Linked DNA regions of Xenopus tropicalis. The protein of the gene in region 2 interacts with the protein of the main gene of each other region in a pairwise test. Links are inferred from orthologs where the notes say so. Each region holds a gene or a part of one and is shown on either strand. Other genes may lie near its edges.

Evidence for each region.
Region 1: the proteins of E3 ubiquitin-protein ligase TRIM39 (region 2) and ube2e3 interact in binary tests that used the Homo sapiens proteins (3 or more experiments, as listed by UniProt). The link is inferred for Xenopus tropicalis from reciprocal best matches to the Homo sapiens genes TRIM39 and UBE2E3.
Region 3: the proteins of E3 ubiquitin-protein ligase TRIM39 (region 2) and poli interact in binary tests that used the Homo sapiens proteins (3 or more experiments, as listed by UniProt). The two-hybrid records come from large-scale screens. The link is inferred for Xenopus tropicalis from reciprocal best matches to the Homo sapiens genes TRIM39 and POLI.
Region 4: the proteins of E3 ubiquitin-protein ligase TRIM39 (region 2) and ube2e2 interact in binary tests that used the Homo sapiens proteins (3 or more experiments, as listed by UniProt). The link is inferred for Xenopus tropicalis from reciprocal best matches to the Homo sapiens genes TRIM39 and UBE2E2.

What each region holds. Positions count from the first base shown.
Region 1 is NC_030685.2:62,838,250-62,842,298, reverse strand, and holds part of ube2e3 (ubiquitin-conjugating enzyme E2 E3), read left to right. Parts: intron 1-3,297; coding exon 3,298-3,430; intron 3,431-4,049. UniProt on the Homo sapiens protein: Accepts ubiquitin from the E1 complex and catalyzes its covalent attachment to other proteins. In vitro catalyzes 'Lys-11'- and 'Lys-48'-, as well as 'Lys-63'-linked polyubiquitination.
Region 2 is NC_030678.2:143,279,291-143,283,339, forward strand, and holds part of E3 ubiquitin-protein ligase TRIM39, read left to right. Parts: intron 1-3,335; coding exon 3,336-3,563; intron 3,564-3,672; coding exon 3,673-3,695; intron 3,696-4,049.
Region 3 is NC_030677.2:203,554,686-203,559,526, forward strand, and holds the start of poli (DNA polymerase iota), read right to left. Parts: upstream 2,992-4,841; 5' UTR 2,975-2,991; coding exon 2,917-2,974; intron 1-2,916. UniProt on the Homo sapiens protein: Error-prone DNA polymerase specifically involved in DNA repair. Plays an important role in translesion synthesis, where the normal high-fidelity DNA polymerases cannot proceed and DNA synthesis stalls. Favors Hoogsteen base-pairing in the active site.
Region 4 is NC_030682.2:46,453,142-46,457,190, reverse strand, and holds part of ube2e2 (ubiquitin-conjugating enzyme E2 E2), read right to left. Parts: intron 1,750-4,049; coding exon 1,602-1,749; intron 1-1,601.

The DNA.
Region 1 (4,049 bases), on a different chromosome or scaffold from region 2:
TAAAGTGCTGTCTTGTATAAAAAAGGGCATTGACTCAAGGGATGAGAACATATTTTTGCCGCTTTATAGGTCCCTGGTAAGGCCTCACCTTGAGTATGCAGTGCAGTTTTGGGCTCCAGTCCTTAAGAAGGATATTAATGAGCTGGAGAGAGTGCAGAGACGTGCAACTAAACTGGTAAAGGGGATGGAAGATTTAAGCTATGAGGTTAGACTGTCGAGGTTGGGGTTGTTTTCTCTGGAAAAGAGGCGCTTGCGAGGGGACATGATTACTCTGTACAAGTACATTATAGGGGATTATAGGCAGTTGGGGGATGTTCTTTTTTCCCATAAAAACAATCAGCGCACCAGAGGTCACCCCTATAGATTAGAGGAACAGAGCTTCCATTTGAAGCAGCGTAGGTGGTTTTTCACGGTGAGGGCAGTGAGGCTGTGGAATGCCCTTCCTAGTGATGTGGTAATGGCAGACTCTGTTAATGCCTTTAAGAGGGGCCTGGATGAGTTTTTGAACAAGCAGAATATCCAAGGCTATTGTGATACTAATATCTACAGTTAGTATTACTGGTTGTATATATATAGTTTATGTATGTGAGTGTATAGTTTGGTTAGTATAGGTTGTGTGCTGGGTTTACTCGGATGGGTTGAACTTGATGGACAATGGTCTTTTTTCAACCCTATGTAACTATGTAACTATGTAACTTAAAATTGTTGTATAATAAAGGTGAAGTCAGATCTATACATGCAAGCCTGTTCAGTATGCTTGATACTTTGTCTGAATTATCTGTGTTTGTCATCGTGTGAGCCAGATACTTAACCTTAATCTGAAACATAGCTCATTGGGCAAACTTAATATGCCAGCTGCATGCCTGTGGGTGGGGGTGTTTTGGGTTTTTTTTAGGGGTTTTGTTTGTTTTATTTTCTCTTTTTATGTGGTAGAATAGGGCCAAGAGGGCCCATTTGCTAGCACTATATAAATAACAGGAAATAAATTAGCCATACAGAAAGCAGTTTGCTCACAAGAATTCAGGGATTGTCTACATTTTGTATGAGTTTCTGAAGTGCAGTTCGTTTAGACAAGTATTAGTTATGGTGTCATTCTGTTGAGCCCAGTGGAACTCTTGGCGACTTGTGTTTTTAACTATCCTCTAATACTTGCTCCCTGTGTAACATAATGGAATTTATTTGTTCCACTTTGGTGTTGCGTTCAGATTTTCAGAACATGACTCTCTAATCCCAGCTGTTTAGCTTGGTACTATATAATTGATTATGATCATTATCCATTTTCACTACCATTTAAATGAAGTGCCTTATGACATTTCTCATCCCACCCCTCTCTGATTTCTGTTCCCCATGTTTTTGCATGTGCAGCTCTGGCTTCATAAATGTAGTTACTTGCTTAGGGTACATGTAAAAAATATCTGAGTATATTTCATACAAAACCCTAATAATTAAATCAGCAACTGTTGTGACTGGAACCTTCATTAATCTGTTGATGAATGATCTTTAATCGGCACTTGTGCTCAGTGCAGACTGTACAGAGTTTATCCAGCAGTGCAATACATACCTGAATCTAATTATTCATCTGCGCTGGGGCATACGTATTGGTAATTAATGGGCAATCAACAGATCATCCATTTAATTGGAAACCTAAAAGTGGAGGAAGAAATCATTTGAATTTCTTCCTATACTAATTTTTCAAGTGTTCCAGGTTAAGTGGATGGTTTGGCCTTTTTATTTTGTTAGATATTTTTAAGTTCTGTTTTAATTGTATGAAATAGAATGAAGCTGGAGGAATAGAAAGAGTTTCCTCTGTTTTAGGGGCTTGATTGATATTCCATCATTTTCGCCTGCTGACTACCAATTTCAGAATGCATAATTTTCATTTAGAGCGCTACTCTGTTTGGTATTGCTCACTGTTTTATGGTATCGTTGACATTAGCTTTTGAAGAGTGTAATCCTTGAGGTTTTTCCACCAGATTAGTGGACAGGAAAAACTGAAATAATTTTTTTTTTTTTTTTAATGATGGCGTAAGTAATAAGTATGAAAATGTAGATTGTAATATTTAACCCAGGGGAAATAATTTAGTAATTTGTACTTGAAATGTTGTTCATAAAAATAATTCATAGAGAATTATTGTGCCCTTAAGTTAGACTGCTTTAATAGGCAATTACTGTGGCTCACGTTAACACCAGGGAGATAGATTTTATCCCTTCATCCCATTATTTCTCATGTTTTGTTCCTTTTAAAGGTATAAGTAATGAGAGGAGGGACAGGAAAGATATCCTGTGCATTCAATATTAATAAAAAAGCTATGATGCACACTTTTTTAAATACATAAACATTATGAAAAATTAATTGATCTATTTTTCTGACTGGAAATGAGCAGTACAGTGAAACGAACATTTGTAGGGATGAAAGTCACTGTCAACTTCCCAAATGAGTACTAGAGTAGTGTTTTTATATTGCACGCAATTGGGCCCATTGCAGGGACCAAAGCATCAATCATTCTTGAAAGATGGAATACATAATTCAGGGATCCCCAACCTTTTTTTTTTTACTCATAAGCCACACTCAGATGTAAAAAGTTCACACAATTATGAAAAAAGTTCCTTGGGGGTGCCAAATAAGCACTGTGATTGGCTACTTGGTAGCCCCATGTGGCCTGCAGGAGGCTCTGCTTGCAGTAAATCCACGTGTTTGCCTTTACAAAACTTGTCTCCAAGCCAGAAATGTAAAAGTGGGCACCTACTTTGCGGCCACTGGGAGCAACAACAAAGGCGGCGCTGAGCAACATGTTGCCCCCGAGCCACTGGTTGGGGATCACTGACAGAATTCATAATTTGTTTATATTTTTGCTACTGTTTTTTTTTTTTTTATTATTATATAGTTCCATGCCTTGTGTAACTATACTAAACCCTAATACCTTTTTCCCATATGTGGCTGCAGAATTCTATGATCAATTACATTCTGGTGATATACATTTTTTCTCATTATATTTGTACAGGTATTTCTAAAAAAAAAAAATGTAAATGTGTCATCCTTGTTTGTTTTTTCTTGATGTTCTTTCTCTTTGTTTCCTTTTTATTTCCATTGAGATTAGATTAAATTCATGGAATTCCATAAAAATTCACAGAAATAGAATTCCACATTAATCAAATTTCTGTCTTTTAATGAAAGTATGGCTAAGCTAGTTATTCCAACTGAGCTAGCTAGCGTAGGTGTTTTTGTTTTTCTAAATGTTTGGCTTAAACTGGGATCTGTAATATCCATTACTCCTGCTGTTTTATTTTTTTTAACAGCGCTGGACCAAAGGGGGACAATATTTATGAATGGAGATCTACGATTCTTGGACCTCCAGGATCAGTATATGAGGGGGGTGTATTTTTCTTGGATATCACATTTTCATCTGATTATCCCTTTAAGCCACCAAAGGTAAGGGAAATATATCTGGAATGTATTGATTTACATCAGCAGGTTGGGCATTAGGTATCTAGATTGCTGTCATAGGGAATGCTTTTTTTTTTTTTTTTTTTTTTAATACTGCTGTTGGTTTTTGCAAATCAGAAATCTCCATAATACTATAATATTGATATTGTTGTTCTGGTGGGTAAAGGGGTTTTCAAGATTAGTTGTATTTTCATGTTTATTTAATAATGTTTACATTCTATTGTTATATTAAAATATTATGTTTTTGTATTTAGATCCATAATTCAGGAATATTAAGCTTATATGTGTCTCTGAAATGAAGGGGAAAAAAATCTATTTTTCTCAAACATTCAATTCCCCCAAGGAAATTGCACTAAAATGTTATGCAAAAGAAGTGTGAGCAGTGGTACTGAAAGGATTACAAATTGTGTGGATTAATTAAAATTCACCCAGTAAGATTAGGATGTGGGGCATCCCTACTAGAATGCATAATATTTCCGTGTGAAAATGACCCAACATCTATTTTGGCCCAAAAAAATTTGACCCACCAATATTTATTTGGCCCAAATCAATAATATGTAAATAAAATGTAATAAAATCATTTTCATTACACATGTTCTGATCA
Region 2 (4,049 bases):
AATTTTGGTTCTGTACATTACCACAATGAATTGTAAATGAAACAACTCAGATACAGTTGAAGTGCAGACTTTCATCTTTAATTCGGTGGGGTAAACAGTGGGGATTTTAACACGATCCCTTAATTTCAAGGGCTCAAAATTAATTGGACAATTGACCCAAAGGCTATTTCATGGGCAGGTGTTGGCAAGTCCGTTGTTATGTCATTATCAATTAAGCAGATAAAAGGCCTGGAGTTGATTTGAGGTGTGGTGCTTGCATGTGGAAGGAGCTCTGCATGCAGGTGAAAGAAGCCATCCTTAAGCTGTGAAAACAGAAAAAACCCACCAGAGAAATTGCTACAATATTAGGAGTGGCAAAATATACAGTTTGGTACATCCTGAGAAACCGGTGAACGCAAAAAGACCTGGATATCCACGGAAGACAACAGTGGTGGATGATCGTAGAATCATTTCCATGGTGAAGAGAAACCCCTTCAATACAGCCAGCCCAGTGAACAACACTCTCCAGGGGCTAGGCATATGGATATCCAAGTCTACCATAAAGAGAAGACTGCATGAAAGTAAATACAGAGGGTGCACTGCAAGGTGCAAGCCTCTCATAAGCTTCAAGAATAGAAAGGCTAGATTGGACTTTGCTAAAGAACATCTAAGAAAGCCAGCACAGTTCTGGAAAACCATTCCTTGGACAGATGAAACCAAGATCAACCTATACCAGAATGATGGCAAGAAAAAAGTATGGAGAAGGTGTGGAACGGCTCCTTAGCCAAAGCATACCACATCATCTGTAAAACATGGTGGAGGCAGTGTGATGCCTTGGGCGTGCATGGCTGCCAGTGGCATTGGGACATTAGTGTTTATTGATGATGTGACACGGGACAGAAGCAGCCGAATGAATTCTGAGGTGTTCAGAGACATACTGTCTGCTCAAATCCAGCTAAATGCAGTCAAATTGATACAAATGGACAGATGTACAATGACCCAAAACACACAGTCAAAGCAACCCAGGAGTTTATTAAAGCAAAGAAGTGGAAAATTCTTGAATGGCCAAGTCAGTCACCTGATCTTAACCCAATTGAGCATGCATTTCACTTGTTGAAGACTAAACTTCAGAAAGAAAGGCCCACAAACAAACGGCAACTGAAAGCCACTGCAGTAACAGCCTGGCAGAGCATTAAAGGAACAGTAACACCAAAAAATCAAAGTGTATAAAAGGAACTACAGTATAATGTACTGTTGCCCTGCACTGGTGAAACAGGTGTATTTGCTTTAGAAACATTACCATAGTTTAGTAAATGAAGCTGCTGTGTAGCCATGGGGGCAGCCATTTAAAAGAGAAAAGGCACAGGTGACATAGCAGATAACAGATAAAACACCATTGTATTGTACAGAACTTATCTGTTATCTGCTATGTAACCTGTGCCTTTTTTCCTTTTTCCAGCTTGAATGGCTGCCCCCATGGCTACACAGCAGCTTTTTATATAAACTATAGAAGTGTTTCTGAAGCAAATGTGCAAATTTTACCAGTGCAGGGCAACAGTGCATTGTATTATGATTACTTAAAAACATTTTTATTTTTTGGTGTTACTGTTCCTATAATAAACTCACATTTTTATGCAACCGTTTTGTTCACCCCACTGAATTAAAGCTGAAAGTCTGCACTTCAACTGCATTTCAATTGTTTCATTTACAATTCATTGTGGTAATGTACAGAACCAAAATTAGAAAAAATTTGTCTCTGTCCAAATATTTATGGACCTAACTGTATATGGGCAATTATGGCAAGGTTACAGATAAAAACATACAATTTTATCAGCTAATCAGTTATAGTTAAAGAAAACCAAGTTTACTAAATAAGTATTTGCTCCAAACCCTTACCCTATCTGACCTTCTACTTGGACTTTCAGAAATCATTTTCCCCTGAATTCTACCTTATCTGGTCTTATGGCAGAACAGCTAGTTGTGCAGATACAACTGTTGTTGCACAGCTACCAAACACCCAGTCAAACAAGTTGCAGTGATATGAAGCTTGTCTGTGAGCTTTCCTACCACAAGCCCCCCTTTTGTCGACCTTTTTTTATTCTTTTGGCCGTAGCCTAACAGTATACTGGTAACTTAGCACTAACATGAAATAATAAAATCACAGTAAATATAAAATTGCACATTTAAGGGCACCAGTGTTACAACAGTTCTACAGACTGAGAAGTGCTTAATAAACTGTTACATGTTATATCTATATATAGATATAGTTATATGTAGTGGCCTAACTAAGTACAAAACAAAGCCAAAAGAAGTGGTTTACACTGATCTGGTGAAATGTATAATAAAAAAAAATGTACATATCCTCAATCTCATGGGGACTTTTGCCCTTGGTTTTGGGAAAAGCCCCTTTAATTACCTGGTGGATAACCTAACCATGTGCCTTCTGGGTGTCCTAAATGATGTAATCCCTTCTAAATATGCAAGGTTAAGATTTTGCATTTTACTATTGTATCGAAAGAAAACAGTTGCTATGCATTGGATGGGTAACTCCCCTTCTTCCCCCAGAGCCTGCATACAACTGGTTAATAATGCAACCCCACTCTTTAAACTCACATACAAAATCAGAGGATCACCTGCCAAATTTGACATTGTATGGTGTGATATAGACTCTGTTGAGACCTAAATTAGGGAAACCTCTCCACACCTATACAGGAGGCTGCCATAAAACTGTATGGCCCCCCTCCAGGAGCAATGCCTGCCCTAGACCCTAATCTAGGATGACTGTTCTCTTGGTGTGTCCAACCAAGGGAACCTCCCCCCATGGCTTTCACTGTTACACCTTGTGTCAACTTGTACCCAATTCTCATATTCTGCGAAAACCTTTGTTTGTTTTCTTTGTTTTGGTTTTATCTTGTTTAAAATAATTAAAAAATTACCTTTAAAAAAAAGTGTAAATTATAACTTAAAAAAGGTCACTCAGAGAGAACAAGCAGATAATCAATGAAATAAAGCACCAAGGGTGGCGGAACAGGTCTCACTATGCCACAAATTAATATTACTACCTATACTATATAGTGATCTATGTAGTACCTTTAAACTGAACAGCGTACTAAACTTCTCTTGATTTTTTTTTTAAATTTTTTTATAAATAGAAACTGATTTGGGGAAAAAAGCGCTAACATGATGACATTACTGGTGAATGCTGGGTAGTTTTGTTCCAACTTGACGTTGTCTTTATTTAAAAAGTCTGTTGAAGATAGGGGTACATGGGTTATGGTGTCATGGTTTAAGTTCTCTAGTCATCTCTGTTACCCATAAATTAGTGATTTGTTACTCACGGCTTTTAACTTTTGCAGAATGAAATTGAGCAAAAACGTAGAATGCTCACCTCTGAATTTGAAATCCTGCGTCAGATTTTAGAAGATCATGAAAGAGAATTCAAAGAGCGTTTGGAGAACATGGAGAGACTGATCATTAAAAGAACAAATGAAAGGACCAGTAAGCTGAATGAAAAACTGTCATCTCTGCACGCACTCATCTTAGATATCGAGCAAAATATTCTCCCCTCGGCTCAAACATATCAGGTTAGACTTTATGATCACTGTGTCATCCATTTAATTTACATCCTATGCCAATATTCCTTTTTAACTTATATTTGTTTTTTACATATTGTTCTCTGTCTGACTTCTAAAGGAACCGAAATCTGCGGTGGGCAGGTAAATATTTGTTTTTAACTGCTTTGTAAGTCAATTGTTTTAGTTGTGTGTGAGCATTTTAGTGTTTGATAAGTAGACAAAGGTGCATTTAAGTTGCTTTCTAAATATAAATATACAATATCATAATGAATGTTTTGCCAGAAACCAAACCCATTAGCATTTACCCATTTTCTTTAACAAGATGACAAGTCCTTGCTAATGGAAAGCAGCTTAACAGCCTCTGTCTGGTACTGGAGAGGGAATTGTGGGGACTATGTGATTTACCCCCTGAGTATGTTTGTACAGAGTATTTGTATTCCAGCCTGAAAGGACTAAAACTGACATCTTAAAGGAACAGTAACATCAAAAAATTAA
Region 3 (4,841 bases), on a different chromosome or scaffold from region 2:
CCCAGCTGATCTGTGTAAATCCGGCTCCCTGTTCTCTGTTCCTGCAATTGGAGTTGGGAGCAATAAGCACAGTTTCCCAGCACTGAACAAGTCTGTCCCTTTATCCCCATGTCTGATTCCTGTGTCATTTAATAAAGTCAAAAAGTGACATAATTATCTCTCTATGTGTAAAATAACAGCAAGATGCCTGACAGTGCTGGGAATCAGCATTCTCATTGGTCAATTCTTTTGCATAATGTATAATAACGTTTTTTATCAATAGAATTCTCATTGGTGAATTTTCTTGCATCTATAATTGTTTGTTTGGTAATTTCTATCATGGCTGGATTTACAACTCCCTTAACTTAATTAACTAACCCCATTATAACCAAGCAGGTTGCCAAACAAATTGCTCCTCTAGCGGTTAATTATCACAACTACTGAATGGTTGCTATGGGTTACCCAAATGGAGTAAAATGTAGAAAAAGGCCTGTTTTCTGAACTGTCCCCTAGGCCTTTGGCAAGGAGTGGGGATACCATGCCATACGTGGAAGGTTACAGGTAGTAAACCACTTACAACAATGAATGAATGAATAATCTTTGTCATTATCACTTGGACAACAAAATTGCAAACAATCAACTCAAAGCAATGCAAAAGCACTATACAAAAATAACACACCAAGAACAAATATCCACAAATGCACTAACAATTTAACATGCAATTTAACAATTCTCTCTACTTCGAATCGAGAGCCATAATCGCTTTAGATAAAAACCATTTTTCAAGCGATTTGTCCTTGCTCTCATTACCCTATATCTCTTGCCTGATGGCAAAACCTGAAAAAAGGAGTGACTGGGATGTGATGGATCTTGTATATTATCCAAAGCTTTTTTTCTGGCATCGGGAATTGTAAATTTGTTCCAGGGAAGGTAAAGGGAAGCCCACTATTTTCTCTGCTGCCCTAATAATTCTATGGAGTGCCTTTGCATCTGATAAGGTACAGCTGCCATACCACACAGAGTCCATATGTGAGTACACTCGTGATGGAACAATGGTAAAAGGCAAGAAGTAAATTCCTAGGGAGACAGTTCTAAGAATTCGCAAAAAATACAGTCTCTGCTGCACCTTCCCCGGCAGCACCCTAGTATTGGCCCTCCAAGACAGCTCCTCCTCCAATTCAATACCTAGGAACCTAAATTCCAAAACCCTCTCCACACATACCCCAGAAATCTTAAGCGGCTGAATATCAGTTTTATTTCTCCTGAAGTCAACCACCAACTCCTTTGTCTTTGAGGTATTAAGTTGCAAGTTGTTTACACTGCACCACTCTGACAGCCGCTCTACCTCATTCCTATGCCATCTCACTCTCCCTGCCTGAGATGAGTCCAATTACCGTTGTATCATCTGCAAACGTAATGATCTTATTACTGAGGTGAGTAGGAACACAGTTATATGTGTAGAGGGGTATAGAGGAGCGGACTTAGCACACAGCCCTGTGGCGAGCCGGTATTCAGCCTGAAGATCTAAGAATCCAACCTGACCCTCTGAGACCAACCAGTTAAAAAATCCAGTATCCAACTGCAAGTAGATAATGGAAGTCCCAAGTATACCAATTTAGACACCAATCATCGCGGGAGAGTATTGAATGCTGAACTGCAATCCACAAAAAGCAATCTAGCGTAACTCCCCCGCTGTTCCAGATGACTCAAAGCAATATGAAGGGCTATAGCCACCGCATCCTCTGTAGATCTCTTTGCCTTATACACAAATTGAAAGGGATCTAAGTCTACTGGTAAACAAGCAATAATATGACTCTGCATCAGTTTCCCAAAGCACTTCATGATGACCGATGTAAGTGCCACTGGACGAAAATCATTCAAACGTAATGGGCTTTTTAGGCAGTGGAACAATAATGGACGACTTAAGTTCATGATGGAACCATAGCCTGAGACCAATTAAATTCCTAGTAAAATCCAAGTAAGGACTCGGGCCAATTGGTCCGCACAATCCTTCAGCACCCATCCAGCCACACCATCAGGCCCCACGGCTTTCCTTGGATTCACCCTCCTCAACACCCACCACAACAACCTGTTTTCCAGTGATACTTTTGTGATAAACTGAGAAACCCATAAACAAGTCATTTTCTAATTCAAACTGTCCCGCCCAGAATTCAAGAAAAGAAAGGTTTTGGGCATTGGGAAACCCTGTCCCGCCCAGAATTCAAGAAAAGAAAGGTTTTGGGCATTGGGAAACCCTGTCCCGCCCAGAATTCACAAAAAGAAAGGTTTTGGGGGTCACTCTGTATGAGAGGATTAGAGAACAATCTCGGCGCCGGTTCTGATCTAATTTCCTATTGGAATTCATAAGGCAGAACCATTCATTCATTCAAAGGCCAAAATCAAAGGTGCTGCTGGCCGAGATAAAGAATAACCGCGGCGCTGTAGCCTTCGCCCTGTGGCCCCCACCGACCCAGTCCGCTCACTCCACTCCATCACGGGCGCAAGGAGGAAGGGGGGTACATGGTGGGGGGAGGGGTTTGATGGCACAACTGGGGTGGGGGGGGACCCCCAGGCATCAACCCCGGCCTTTGCCTGCTGCTGCCCATAACTTTACCAGGTTTCATCACACCAAGGCCCCACAAAAACACCTGCGCACAATGTTACCTGCCACTAGAACCCCCCAATGCCCTGCAGCACCCACAGACTTCCTAATGCCAGCCTCGCCCATTATTAACTATATATACAGTTATATGCACAAGCAGAACAAGCAGTGCAGAGACTGTAAGTAGCCAGATACCCCATTTACAAATAACTCTAAAGCCACTGGAACAGAATACAGAGATTTGGAAGTCGCTTAGAAACACAGATGTGCAGCCATGCTATCTGCCCCTGACTATAGGGCTCATTGCCATGTTACACATGAGGTGCCACCCCCACCCCTGTCTCTATGCCAACACTGAGAGGAGATAGGAGGCCTTTGCTGCTGTAGGAGCATTGGGCATGGGGAAGACCCCTTGTTATTTACATGGTACTTCCACACCGACACGGCTTGGGCTCTCAGCTTTGCACAACCAGCCCGCTTCCTCCTCCTCCTCCTCTTCAGCCTCATCCTCACTGCCCCCTGGGGAGCCCATCGAGCCCAAAACCCAGCACCTTCCTCACACACAGAGCAAGGGATATGGGCGGGTCTTGAGCTAGCAGTGCGGCTCTGCGATAGGAGTAAATTACAAGGGGAGGGACACAAGCCAGCAGTGCGGCTCTGCGATAGGAGGAAAGTACAAGGAGCGGGTCTTGAGCCAGCAGTGTGGCTCTGCGATAGGAGGAAAGTACAAGGGGCGGGTCTTGAGCCAGCAGTGTGGCTCTGCGATAGGAGGAAAGAACAAGGTGAGGCACAAGCCAGCAGTGCGGCTCTGCGATAGGAGGAAAGTAGAAGGGAAGGGGCACAAGCCAGCAGCAGTGCGGTTCTGCGATTGGATGAAAGTACAAGGGGAGGTACAAGCCAGTAGTAAGTCTCTGCGATAGGAGGAAAGTACAAGGGGCGGCACAAGCCAGTAGTAAGTCTCTGCGATAGCAGGAAAGTACAAGGGGGGAAACACAATCCAGCAGTGCGGCTCTGCGATAGGAGGAAAGTACAAGGGGAGGCACAAGCCAGCAGTGCGGCTCTGCGATAGGAGGAAATTACAAGGGGAGGGACACAATCCAGCAAAGCGGCTCTGCGATAGGAGAAAAGTACAAGGGGAGGCACAAGCCAGCAGTGCGGCTCTGCGATAGGAGGAAAGGGGAGGGCGGTGCTAATGCCAGCTGCGTGTCTGTCGGGCAGCTGTAGGCGCAGTGTCAGATATAGTGCAGTGAGACAGCATGGCCCAGTTTGGTGCATATACTATTTCTTTCTGGTTATTCAGTGGGAGCTGCCATGCAGCTTGCTTCCAGTGTTCCCTCCCCCAGACACAAATGGCTCTGCTCCCAGAGTAGCTCACCCATATACAACCCACTCCCTTCAGCCTTTGTTGTGACTGTTTTCTTAGCAGGAGGGGATATCTGCTTTATCGGATGTGATTAAGGCAAAATAAAAGGATGGGTTGCGCTTGTATAGATAAAGCTGGTGTGTGAGAAAGACGCTCTTTACAGGCGTTTCAGTAGGGGCCGGTGGTTGTTTCCATTGCAGAACCTGTTTTTGGTGAGATAAGGCCCCACCCAAACCGCACAACGCCCATTTATGTGCCACGTTCCTTCTATCCTGTACCTACTGCTGCACCCAGGCCGGCTGCCAATAAAGCCAGAGAGCGCTCTGAGCAAAGTTTAATCTGGAAATGCTGCACCCTTTCCTTGAAATGCTCCCCTTGTGCGGCCGGCAGTGCCAAGCCTTTGCCTTATACGCTCCCCGTGGCTGCCCTGCCTCAGTGTGTGGGAGAAGGAATCATTAGACTGGGAGTGGGTAGGCACCCCAGATACATGCTATCAGAGAGACAAGGCCAATGTGTAATGTTTTAGCCCAGGGGTGGGCAAACCTTTTGGCTCAGGGGCCACATTGACTTACAGACGGGCCGGGCCAGCGTTGCGCCGTTTCCACTCGTCAGTCCCCAGATGCCAAGTCTCGCGTGATGGGACATGCGGAGTTGGCGGACCAGATTAAAAAGACCAACGGGCCATAGTTTGCCCACCCCCATGTTAGCCTATATCAGCTAGTGAAGAAATGCCGCGTACCCCTCAGTACCGTCACACAACAGATGGTTCCATTTACGGAAATGGTATTTGGCACCGAGAAAGTTATCGGCCTTAAAATACCCCACTAGTGAAGCACAACGTGTACCGCTGGGCAAGGAACAAGTCATGAACCACAATGGCACAGTACTGTTATACTG
Region 4 (4,049 bases), on a different chromosome or scaffold from region 2:
CCAGATCCTTTCTGAGCTGCCTAGTTAGAGACAAGTATCACAGTGAAAGCTTTTTGTTTCAATTATTAAATATATACTTTCTCTAATTGCATTATAAAAAATACTAGATAAAATATTATTTGTTAATTAGCTTATTAGGATTCATTCTGACATGTTGCCCTAACTAGAGTGGGTATTAAATGATTACTCAGGCTCTGCTCTATAATGACTAATAAGATTAAGTAAATTAAGGATAACGGACTGAATACAGGTATTAGAATGAGCAGAATTGTTATTAACCATTCTCAGAAACCTAATAAAAAGCAGTGTTGTGGATGAATAGTAGCTTTTAATATTCTTCCCTTTAGTATATTATATTTATGTTGTGTTTTTGCACTTACCTAAACTAATATATAGCTAATCCAATACCTAGAAATGAATTTTACATAAAATGATGTATAACTGGGACTATACCTCCCATTTTTGTTATGGTTGCCATATCCATTTTTCTGCATTCTGTCTCCATAAGTGTGAATAAGCATCATCCAATGACTTCCTGAAAGCATTATACAATTCCATGTGCCAGTACCATGTGGCACTTCATCTCTCTGCATATTATACTTATTATAATGCTTGCCCTCCCTTTGTGTACTTTTTATTATCTTTCTGGCTGTTTATATTCTCTGCAGTCCTGGTTTTGACAATGTAGTAGTATCAGCCAGGTGATAAAGGAGATCTGGATTATAAAGGAGAATATGGGGGTACCCCATATTAAAGAAGTTAAGTGCAGGCACTTTGGGACTTAATAAATGATAAAGCCATAATGCAGTAATTTAGGGTAATGTAATTCAATTTGCCAAATTTTACACAGGTCAAGTAACCCTGAGGTTTGCTTTTGAACAAGAGAACAGTAGAAGATACAGGCTTATAGGCTTTAAGAGGTTGCTACCTGGGAACACTTTCCAGCCTTTATTACAAACCTATTTTAATCAGAACATAGACAGGGTATTCTAAGGAACATTTAGTGGCAGGTACAACTTCTCTTTAAACATTTTCACCCAAAAGGATACCCTCATTTATATATCGGTTGCATCAATTTAAATAATTATGATAAGAAATCAAATTAGTTGTGCAAACTGCCAGCCCCAGAAAACTTGTTTTTCTAATCGGAATACTGCACAGGAAACCAAATATTGCAGTGTTCTCTTAATATTAACTAAATATGCTTGAATTATGGTTGAAGATGGTTAACAACAGCTTTAAGCATAGATGATGAACTGCTTCCAGCTAGAGAAATAAAATACTTTTATAAATTGTATTCTAATAAATGCTTCATGCAAGGAGATATTAAAAGCATAACTCCTGAAGTAACCCCACCACCTGGTAAGTCCGCAAGGTCACAAAAAACACAAGGCAATAATATTCTGACAAGGCAATAATAATCTGACAGCACTAGATTGGTAGGTGCTTATAGGCTGCCCAAGGTAATTGCTGTTAATTGCATCTTACTTTACACACAGGCCATGAGCAGAGAATAAATATCCCAGATAATAATAGGAAACAATATTGTTCTATAGCTCTCAAGGCATATTAATGCAATTTTTCACAAGAGAGGTCCTTACCAGGGTTGCAGTCTGTGAGCAGAGAGCAGATAGACAGGAGGACTTTGGAAATTGTGAGTGCTGGGCTCCAGTTATCTTTCAGGATGTCGAGACAGATCACCCCCTGACTGTTTATGTTACAGTGGTAAATTCTTGTCCGAAATGTCACCTAAGGAAAATAAAATGCCTTGATGATTCCAGGATAATATAAAAAAAAGCTGCAATGCTGCAACTGGATCAACACAAATGAAACACAAACAGCTTAACTCAAGTGGAACTAGAATTCAATGCACTTTATAAAAAAGGAAATTGTATGGTTATTAATAAACACAAAAGGTCATAGACTTTAAAAAGAAAAAAAAAAAAGTAAGATCCAATAGTTCCTTTCTTTAAGTGCCTGCAGCACAATAGCTATTTCAAACGCGTTAAAACTGCTTCTTAAAGGCATATGAACAGCAAGACAGCCTGATACATACAGGCCCACGTCATGAGCTGTGCTGGCACAAAAGTTCCCTAACACTTTACTTTAAACACCTGCAACAATTTTTTTTCTCCAATAGCCAAGTGGGGAACCTTAAAACCAGCAGTTCCATATTTCCCTAAAGGGCCGCTACAAGGGGGTGGCCCCCTGAGATGTAAATGTGTGATTTGCATGTTGCGATGGCACAATGGGGCATGGCCATACATACATGGGCCTTTTTTTCATTATTGGTACTACATTCTACTTGCTGGCAAGGCCCTCTGCCCACATGACCAATAGGTTAATATTTGGGGCTCCCTGGGCAAGAGTCCTGATGAGGATTTCTGAGGATGGTACAGTTTCTCTATGTATTAAAACTTTACTGTCAGGACGTTTTAAATGAACTAATATTTTTAGAAAAGCTTGAGCCAATTCATTGGAATGTGTCCAACCTCTTTTAGCAGTCGAACACCATTCTCTTCAATGGGGTATAATTCTCCGGCACAAAATTCTTCAAGCGCTGCTTTCAATAGCAATTACACTTACAAATAACTTTTAAAGTACTGAAATTTTTTAAAATAAATTCATATCGGAAAGCTGCTTGGAATTATGTTTTCTTTTATTAGGCAAAACTTTTTGGGTTGAAATGTCCTTTAAAAGTACTGTATTAATGAGCTAAAGAAACAGGCCTTCTGCTTAACAGAATTCTTGCCTATTCATTTAATTAAGAAATGTCTATGGTTTACCGATTTCTCTATCACTAAACAAGAAAATGAAACCACTTTTACTTTCCAACTTCAAGCTGTCAACAGAGGAGAAACACATTAAACAAACTACTTGAGGAAAGAAGGGGAAGCCTTATCTTAAAAAAGCTGCTCCTTATCTCAAATGCTAATATAGGCTTTTTCCCATTAGTGCAAAAAAGGAAAATACGGATGACTAAAATTAAAAGAAAACTTAATTAAAATTAAGTTATCATGGTGTCAGCTGGATACAGCCCTCATTTGTATGTTTACTAACATGGTCTGATCCCACATAAAGTTAAGGGCAAGCAAACAGATTCTTCTCAACTCTTGCAACTTCACTAGCCAACAGCAGCTATTGAGCATTTGCTATGACACTGTCTCCCTGGAGCAGCTCTGGGTGGCGAGCATCAACTGTAAAACTGTCCTAATTATTAAATATTTCAAATGTTCGGGCCTGATAAACTATTGTATCTATTAACAAACCATTCTATCAATTATAACCTTAATGATGCTCAGGGATTATTGATACAATAATTGCTAATATTCCACAATTGCTACTGGGAAATGTATCAACTAACGTAGCAAATTCTAACAGTTCCGAGGCAGCTAGATTACTGAGCTGCAACACTAAAACACCTTAGAAAGGAACTTTAAACTTTAATTTTAGAAAACAGTAAAAAAAAAAATAGAAAGCAACTGAAAAAAAGTATTTTTCTGCATAATTAATCGTTACTCCAATTCTACTTGGCCTTTGTAGCCTTAGGCAAGTTACATTCTTCCTGCACCTCAGACACCAACATAAATAAGGCACACTAGGTGATTTTCTCAGTTGCATTTTTCCCTGCAGAAAATCTGTTGTCTGTCAAAACACAAAAGAATTGGCCCCATACTCTACCAGTAGAAAGGGTATGTGTGTTCTTTTCAAACACACACTCACACACACACACACACACACACAAGCATACAAATCCACACACACACAAGCATACAAATCCACACACACACACGCATACAAAGCCACACACGCGCATACAAAGCCACACACACACGCATACAAAGCCACACACGCATACAAAGCCACACACGCATACAAAGCCACACACACACGCGCATACAAAGCCACACACACGCGCATACAAAGCCACACACACGCGCATACAAAGCCACACACGCGCATACAAAGCCACACACGCGCATACAAAGCCACACACACACGCGCATACAAAGCCACACACACACGCGCATACAAAGCCACACACGCGC